Linked DNA regions of Callithrix jacchus. The protein of the gene in region 2 interacts with the protein of the main gene of each other region in a biochemical or structural test. Links are inferred from orthologs where the notes say so. Each region holds a gene or a part of one and is shown on either strand. Other genes may lie near its edges.

What was found.
Region 1: the proteins of HNF4A (region 2) and SREBF2 form a complex in vitro, tested with the Homo sapiens proteins (2 studies listed by BioGRID and IntAct). The link is inferred for Callithrix jacchus from reciprocal best matches to the Homo sapiens genes HNF4A and SREBF2.

What each region holds. Positions count from the first base shown.
Region 1 is NC_133502.1:189,861,839-189,865,590, reverse strand, and holds the end of SREBF2 (sterol regulatory element-binding protein 2), read left to right. Parts: intron 1-697; coding exon 698-809; intron 810-1,272; coding exon 1,273-1,493; 3' UTR 1,494-3,351; downstream 3,352-3,752.
Region 2 is NC_133506.1:39,770,644-39,774,295, reverse strand, and holds part of HNF4A (hepatocyte nuclear factor 4-alpha), read right to left. Parts: intron 3,482-3,652; coding exon 3,326-3,481; intron 391-3,325; coding exon 154-390; intron 1-153. UniProt on the Homo sapiens protein: Transcriptional regulator which controls the expression of hepatic genes during the transition of endodermal cells to hepatic progenitor cells, facilitating the recruitment of RNA pol II to the promoters of target genes. Activates the transcription of CYP2C38.

The sequences.
Region 1 (3,752 bases), on a different chromosome or scaffold from region 2:
CACCTCACCTAAGCCCAAAGGCTGCCTCTTAAATACCATTTCCATCCTGCTTCTCCCTGCTGAGAGCCCAGCAGTGGCTCCCTGTTGCCTACCAAGACCAGAATCTACTTGGCAGCACTGAAGACTGAGATATAAAGCAATCAAAAAGAGCTTGAGATCTTAAGAAATGACAGACTTCGTTCGGCCTTGCCCTTCACCTACCAGCGACTCATACCTCAGCGCTGCAGACTTTTACCCGCACACCTCTAGACTCTGTTCCTTTCTAAAGATACGGAAGGAAAGAGGGTACCGAACCTCTCTGGTACCAGCCCAGCTGTCTCCCTCACCCCTCTGTCCCTGCCACACCTGTCCTTTTGTCAAACTGGCAGCAGCCTCCAGGGTCTGGAGGCTTCACCCAGGCCCTGCTTGTCTGCCAGCTCCACAAGGTGCGCCCACGGCTTTCTTGTCACCAGTTGAGGAAAGCAGGCATTTTGCCTCTCTCTCCTTTCCTCCTGCTCCTGCGGCTCAGCCAGGTTTCCCGCCTGGCTCAGGGTCGGAATAGGGGTCAACAGAGGTTGCTTTTCAGTGTTGAGCAAGGCAGGGTGGTATGGGAAGGGATGTCATCAGGTGGCAGGCAAGATGGCTCAGGGAGAGCTACCCTGAGCATAGACAGGTGGGGACCAGGAGTATAATGGATATCACCCCTGCACCTCCCCAGGTCTTCCTGCATGAAGCGACTGTGCGCCTGATGGCAGGAGCCAGTCCCACCCGCACCCACCAGCTGCTGGAACACAGTCTGCGGCGGCGCACCACACAGAGCTCGAAGCACGGTGAGTCCACCGCTCTCCAGCTCGCAGGCTGGGGCTGGCCCTGCCCCCGGGAAGAGAGGAGGGTTGGGGCCAGCCCAGCTCCCACATCTAGCAGCTGTGGCCAGCACACCTCTCTGAGAATGAAAGAAGCCTGAGACCGCTCTTAGTGGGTTGCAGGGGTTGGGGTGGTCATGGGTCATGCTGTGATCAGGTAAGGAGGGTTGGGGTGGGGTCTGAGCACAGGTGCAGGCGTAGAAGCAGAGGCTCCAATCAGACCATGTGGCTCCATCTCAGCCCCAGCCCCACCACAGGCTGGCCGTGGAACACTGGACAAGTTCACTTCTTTTCCGTGGACTGGGTGGGGCAACAGACTCCACCTCCCAGGATGAGTGTCAGTGTTGAGTGAATGAGTCCAGGTAACGCTGAGGGACAGCACCGGCTGCATGATGGACTCTCAGTTCTGACACGTATCTCTTTACCATAGGAGAGGTGGATGCCTGGCCCGGCCAGCGAGAGCGGGCCACTGCCATCCTGCTGGCCTGCCGCCACCTTCCCCTCTCCTTTCTATCCTCCCCGGGCCAGCGGGCAGTGCTGCTGGCCGAGGCTGCCCGCACCCTGGAGAAGGTGGGTGACCGGCGCTCCTGCAATGACTGCCAGCAGATGATTGTCAAGCTGGGTGGTGGCACTGCCATTGCCGCCTCCTGACCACCAGGCTCAGCTCGCCCCTCCACCTCTCTCGGTTCCTCTCTCCCCCCACAGCATCCTCCTGCTGAGAGTGGTAGGGAGGAGCCTTGTCTTCCTAGCTGTCATCTGCCGAGGCTTCTGAGCCACCTCAGGCCAGTGGGCCCCTGGACAGAGCCCCTTAAAGCTGCTGTCACTAGATGCCCATGGTCCAGGGTCTGGTGGGCATGAGAGGAAAGGTGGCGGGGTAGAAACTGGTTCTTAAAAGCAGCAGGGGGAGCTCCCAAGCTGCCAAGCCCCCTGCCTTCAGCCTTCCTGACTTTCTCCTGAACCTCACTCTCTCCTTTTTGCTTCCTCAGTTTTTATCAGGCTTTCTCTGGGAGACAGCAGTCTCTCAGCACCAGGGAGCAGCTGCCCTCAGGCCTGTGCCTGGCATGCCCTCCCCGCTTTTTATACGAATGTTTTCTATCAGCGTGCTTGGGTTTGCCATGATGTGAGGCTGAGTTGCCGTAGCATCTTGATTCTCTCCCTGGGTCTGCGTTCCCTCCCCTGTGCCTGACTGAGCCCACTCATTGTCTTTCCCTTTATTACATAGGACAGCCAGGGGAGGAGGGGACCCCAGCCCTGGGAGGCTGGTGGGAGGCAGGGAGCATGCCTGCGGATGGATGAAATTATGTTGGCATTATTTTTTAATTTTTTAAGAAATAAATGGTATCTTATTTAATTGTCCTGTTCCTTCCCACTCTCCACCTCCTAGGATGTCATCCCAAGCTCAGGGTAGGCCCAGGGGCCTGGGAGAAATGAAGCCACCCATTGGGACTGGGAACCAGGGACCTTCAGCATGGTGTCCAGGTTCCCCCCTCCCCGACCCCAACACCTACCTCCACAGTGCAGACTGGCCCCGGCTTTGCAGTGGTTCACTTCAACCATGGTTCAACTTTACAGTTGGTCTGTCGGGGTATTAAATGAATTTTTGAATTATGATATTTTCATTTATGATGGATTTATCAGGAAGTAACCCTATGTAAGTTGAGGCATATCTGTATATTTTTATCCCTAATTCTTTTTTTTCTTAAGACGGAGTCTCACTCTGTTGCCAGGCTGGAGTGCAGTGGCATGATCCCAGCTCACTGCAACCTCCGCCTCCCGGATTCAAGCGATTCTCCTGCCTCAGCTTCCTGAGTGGCTGGGACTACAGGCGCATGCCACCACGCCCAGCTAGTTTTTGTATTTTTAGTAGAGATGGGGTTTCACCATGTTGGCCAGGATGGTCTTGATCTCTCAACCTTGTGATACACCTGTCACAGTTTCCCAAAGTGCTGGGATTACAGGCATGAGCCACTGTGCCTGGCCTTTTTATCACTAATTCTTGAACTGAAAAAAACCAACGTGGCCCAACCCCTCCCCAGTGGCAAGCCCTTCTTTACAGAGTGGGCAGAAGGTTGCCTTTGGTGGGCACTAGGAATGAGGTCCCCTGCCTTGATGCAGGTCCTAGGAGAAAAAGTCCCACTTTTCTGGACTCCCTGTGCCTCATCCTCAAGCTGGTTGGGGCAGAGGGTGGGCAGGAGCCCTAATACAGACTGGGGGCTGCTCACAGTAGGGCCCCTTGATGCAGGCTGGAATGCATCAGCTTGTGTTGTCCCTAGGGTGTGCTTGGACCCCACCTGCTTTCTCTCCTGCCCCTCCCCCACTTACTGTAATTTATGGACCCTTCCCACCCGAGTGTTGTGTATATGTCCTGTGCCTTTTCTCTCTATTGTTTAGGGGTGGGAGGGGGTGATTTTACACTGAAAATGGGGGTACACCTATGGCTTCCTTGATGTTCAGTCACTGTGTCCCAGACCTAGGTTATTCAATAAACACAGATTGGTACCACCCAGCACAAGGTGTGTGAGGGTCTGTAATGTGACTGCTGTGGTGTCCAGCCAAGGGGCTGCATGACTTGGTGGGCAATGGGCCAGGGGCTGTGGGTGGTGCTTTGGGGGTCAGAGGTCGTGCTATCCAGGTTCCAGCTTGTTCTCTGGATATAATGCAACTGGCTGACCTCTCCCCTGCTGAGTAAGCTGCTCCCTGGTTTCCCTTCTGTGAAGGCAGTGACCTTCTGAGCCAGGAGACAAGTCAGACCCAAGTCCAGGTCCTGTGCTTGTCTCCACTTCCACGTGTGCAGAATGGGGATGCTAAGCTCCGCCATGGACTGTAGTTCCACAGGCTTGTGTGCCCAGAGTGAGTGCCTTGTGAGGCTGCTGAGACACACCAGGGGCAGGACCACAGGCTGGGATGGGA
Region 2 (3,652 bases):
ACAAGAAAACTGAGGCACAGACAGGTTAAGCAACTCTCCAAAAGCCACACAGTGGGGAAGCCAAGGAGCTGAGGGGTGAGCTCAGGTCTGTGTGAGGCCCGTATCCTGGAGAGTCCCCGCTGCAACCCCGCCCCTCCTGGGCCTGGCACGGACCTCCCAATAGCATCTCCTGCAGCAGGTTGTCAATCTTGGCCATGCCGAAGAGCTTGATGAACTGGATCTGCTCGATCATCTGCCAGGTGATGCTCTGCAGGGTGGGCAGCAGCAGCAGCAGCTCGCCAAAGCGGCCGCGCGAGTCATACTGGCGGTCGTTGATGTAGTCCTCCAAGCTCACCTGCACCTGGGAACGAAGCCTCTTGATCTTCCCTGGATCACTCAGCCCCTTGGCATCTACAATGGAAGGGGGTGGGCAAGGGAGGGCAGCAGGGAGTCAAGACCCAGATGTCCCCTGACTTGTGTCACACAATGAGTCTTCAGCAGGGTGGGCACAAGGATTCAGGGACCTCAACAATCAGGGTACGCCAGCATGAACTGTGATTTCCTAGACACAGACAGAAAAAGATTCCTGCCACATTTCCTAAGGGACTAAGCCAGAAGGGTGGGGAGTAGGAGATGGAGGGTGAGACTTGAGGAATGTGTCCAGCAAGTACCTAGCAAGCTCCTCATCTTACACATGGGGAACTGAGTCACGGTGCAAGGAAAGGACTTGTCCTGTGTCACACAGCCAGTGGCTGTTTGCAGAGCCATGACGGGAACTTGGGGTTATTGGCCACAGTTGAGGTTCCCTTATTCCGACCTCAAGCATTTGCTGCTTCTACTGTGTTAGAACAGGCTCCCCTTCCCTGATCCCTGTTTCCTATCATCTTAGGGACTCAAGTTAGTTTTCACCTCCTCCAGGAAGTCTCCATTCTACCCTCCTATGTCTGTATCCTGTGTTCCTCCTGTTTCCAAATCTCTGTGGCTCCTCCATCACTGCTGACCACACAGGATGTAATTGTTGTGCCGTCCAACTGTGGGCAGGCATATGGCTTATTTGCCATTTTATGTTTTGTTTTATTTTATTTTAGACTGAGTGTCCCTTGTCCCTCTGTCACCCAGGCTTGAGTACAGTGGTGCGATCTCAGCTCACTGCAACCCCCGCTTGGGCTCAAGTGGTTCTCTTGCCTTAGCCTCCTGAGCAGATGGGATTATAGGCACATGCCACCACGCCCAGATAATTTTTGTATTTTAGTAGAGATGGGGTTTCACCACGTTGGCCATGCTGGCCTCAGACTCCTGACCTCAAGTAATCTGCCTGCCTTAGCCTCCCAAAGTGCTGGGATTACAGGTGTGAGCCACCACGCCTTTGCCATTTTAAACCCACCACCTAGTACCATGCATAATCAATATTTATCGAATAGGGCCAGACTCAGTGGCTCATGCCTGCAATCCCAGCACTTTGGGAGGCCAAGGCAGGAAGATTACTTGAGGCCAGGAATTTGAGACCAGCCTGGCCAACATGGTGAAACCCCATCTCTACTAATAATACACAAATTAGCCTGGTGTGGTGACACATGCCTGTAATCCCAGCTACTCTGGAGGCTGAGGTGGGAGAATTGCTTGAAACTGGGAGGTGGAGGTTGCAGTGAGCTGAGATGGTGCCACTGCACTCCAGCTTGGGTGACAGACAATATGTGTATGCGTGTGTGTATATATATATATATATATTTATATAAATGTAATATATATTTATGCATATAAATATATATATTTAGATGGGTGGAAGAATGAATAAAAAAAAAATCAGTGACTAAATTCTAGATCCTTAGCCTAGAAGGGAACTTAAGAGGTCATCCAATATTTAATCTCAAGCTTCATTGAGGCAATGCATTTATTTCCTCTTTCATGGACAAAGGAAGTGGCAGAAGGAACATTCACCCACATTTTTAGTGGGCTCTCTCCACTGAATCATGTTTGTTCATTATTTCATTCAGTCCACAAACATTTATTGAGCATCTCCTGCATGCCAGGCCTTGAACTAGGTTCCCACCTCTTCAAATTGCTGGAGGCAGCTGCCTCTGACTCAGCATCAGTGATCATGCCCATTTTGCAGAGCAATTCTGCCAGTCCAGCCTCCTGCTGAGCACTATAGAGGATACAGGCTGGGCCAGGCTCTGGAAGGAACCAGAACTAGAAATCTCACCTTCTGGGAAGTGTGGGATAGCATGTGGTGGGTAAGAACGTGGGCTTGAGAGAGAGAGAAACTGGGATCGATAGGTGGTCTGAAGTTCAAGCTCTGCCATTTTCTGGTTATGTGACCTTGGGCAAGTTAACCATGCCTCAGTTTCCTTATCTATAAAGTGGAGATAAAAATTTCTACTTCACAGGTATCATGTTGATAATCCACAGAAAGTGTTTAAAAACAGCTCTTTAGTGAGCATTCAATACATGCTGCTCATCTTCCTCTTTATCACTATATATATATATATATTTTTTTTTTTTTCTTTTTTTCTTTTTGAGACAGAGTTTCACTCTTGTGGCCCAGGCTGGAGTGCAGTGGTGTGATCTTGGCTCACTGCGACCTTCGCCTCCCAGGTTCAAGCGATCCTCCTGCCTCAGCCTCTGGAGTAGCTGGGATTATAGGCAACCACTACCACACCTGGCTAATTTTTGTATTTTTAGTAGAGACAGGGTTTCACCACATTTACCAGACTGGTCTTGAACTCCTGACCTCAGGTGACCTGCCCATTTCAGTCTCCCAAAGTGCTGGGATTACAGGTGTGAGCCACCACACCTGGCCTTTTCATCACTATTATTACTAGAGGTAATCTATCTGCGGTGTGAAGGGCAGTGCCTGGCACACAGTAGGTCCCCTCTAACATGTAAGCAGGGAAGGCAAGCAAACCTCCGGGGTTCAGGCACCTTTGACAGTAGGAAACAAAAGCAGGTTTTGCACAAAGACTGATGACAAAGGCATTCTGTATAAATGCAGATGCAAAAGTCAGTCAACAGTATGGGGAGAGGAGAGCTGAGAGCCACAGGAGAGGGTAGGAATGCTTTATCTTCATCCTGTGATGAGGGCCAGGCTGGTCTTGAGCCCCTGACCTCAGGTGATCCACCCACCTCAGCTTCCCAAAGTGCTGGATTATAGGCATGAGCCACCATGCCTGGTCATATCCTCCCTTTGAATCTTGCCTTGCCTGATGCGTTAAATGAAAACAGCCCCTCCTGGCTGTCATTAACAGGAAATGAGGTTGTGAACTCAGTGTACATAACCCAATAGGAGAAGTGTGACAGAGGGTTCTGGAGAGAGAGTCAGGGATGGCTTAGGAGGTGTGCAGTGTACCTGGGTCAAAGAAGATGATGGCTTTGAGGTAGGCATACTCATTGTCATCAATCTGCAGCTCCTGGAAGGGCAACACCAACTCGTCAAGAATGCGCATGGACACCCGGCTCATCTCCGCCAGCTCCGGGCAGTGCCGAGGGACGATATAGTCATTGCCTGGAAGGTTGGGAGGGAGAGAGGATGGGAAGTCACCTTGGGTTGAGCCCTCTCCTCTAGTTTTGGCTTTTAAGTTCGGAAGATAGCTGGTGCCTATGGGAGGAGGCCCTGTGGGGATGATCACTCCCATTTCACAGGTAAGGAAGCTGAGGCCCAGATTCAGAAGGTAAG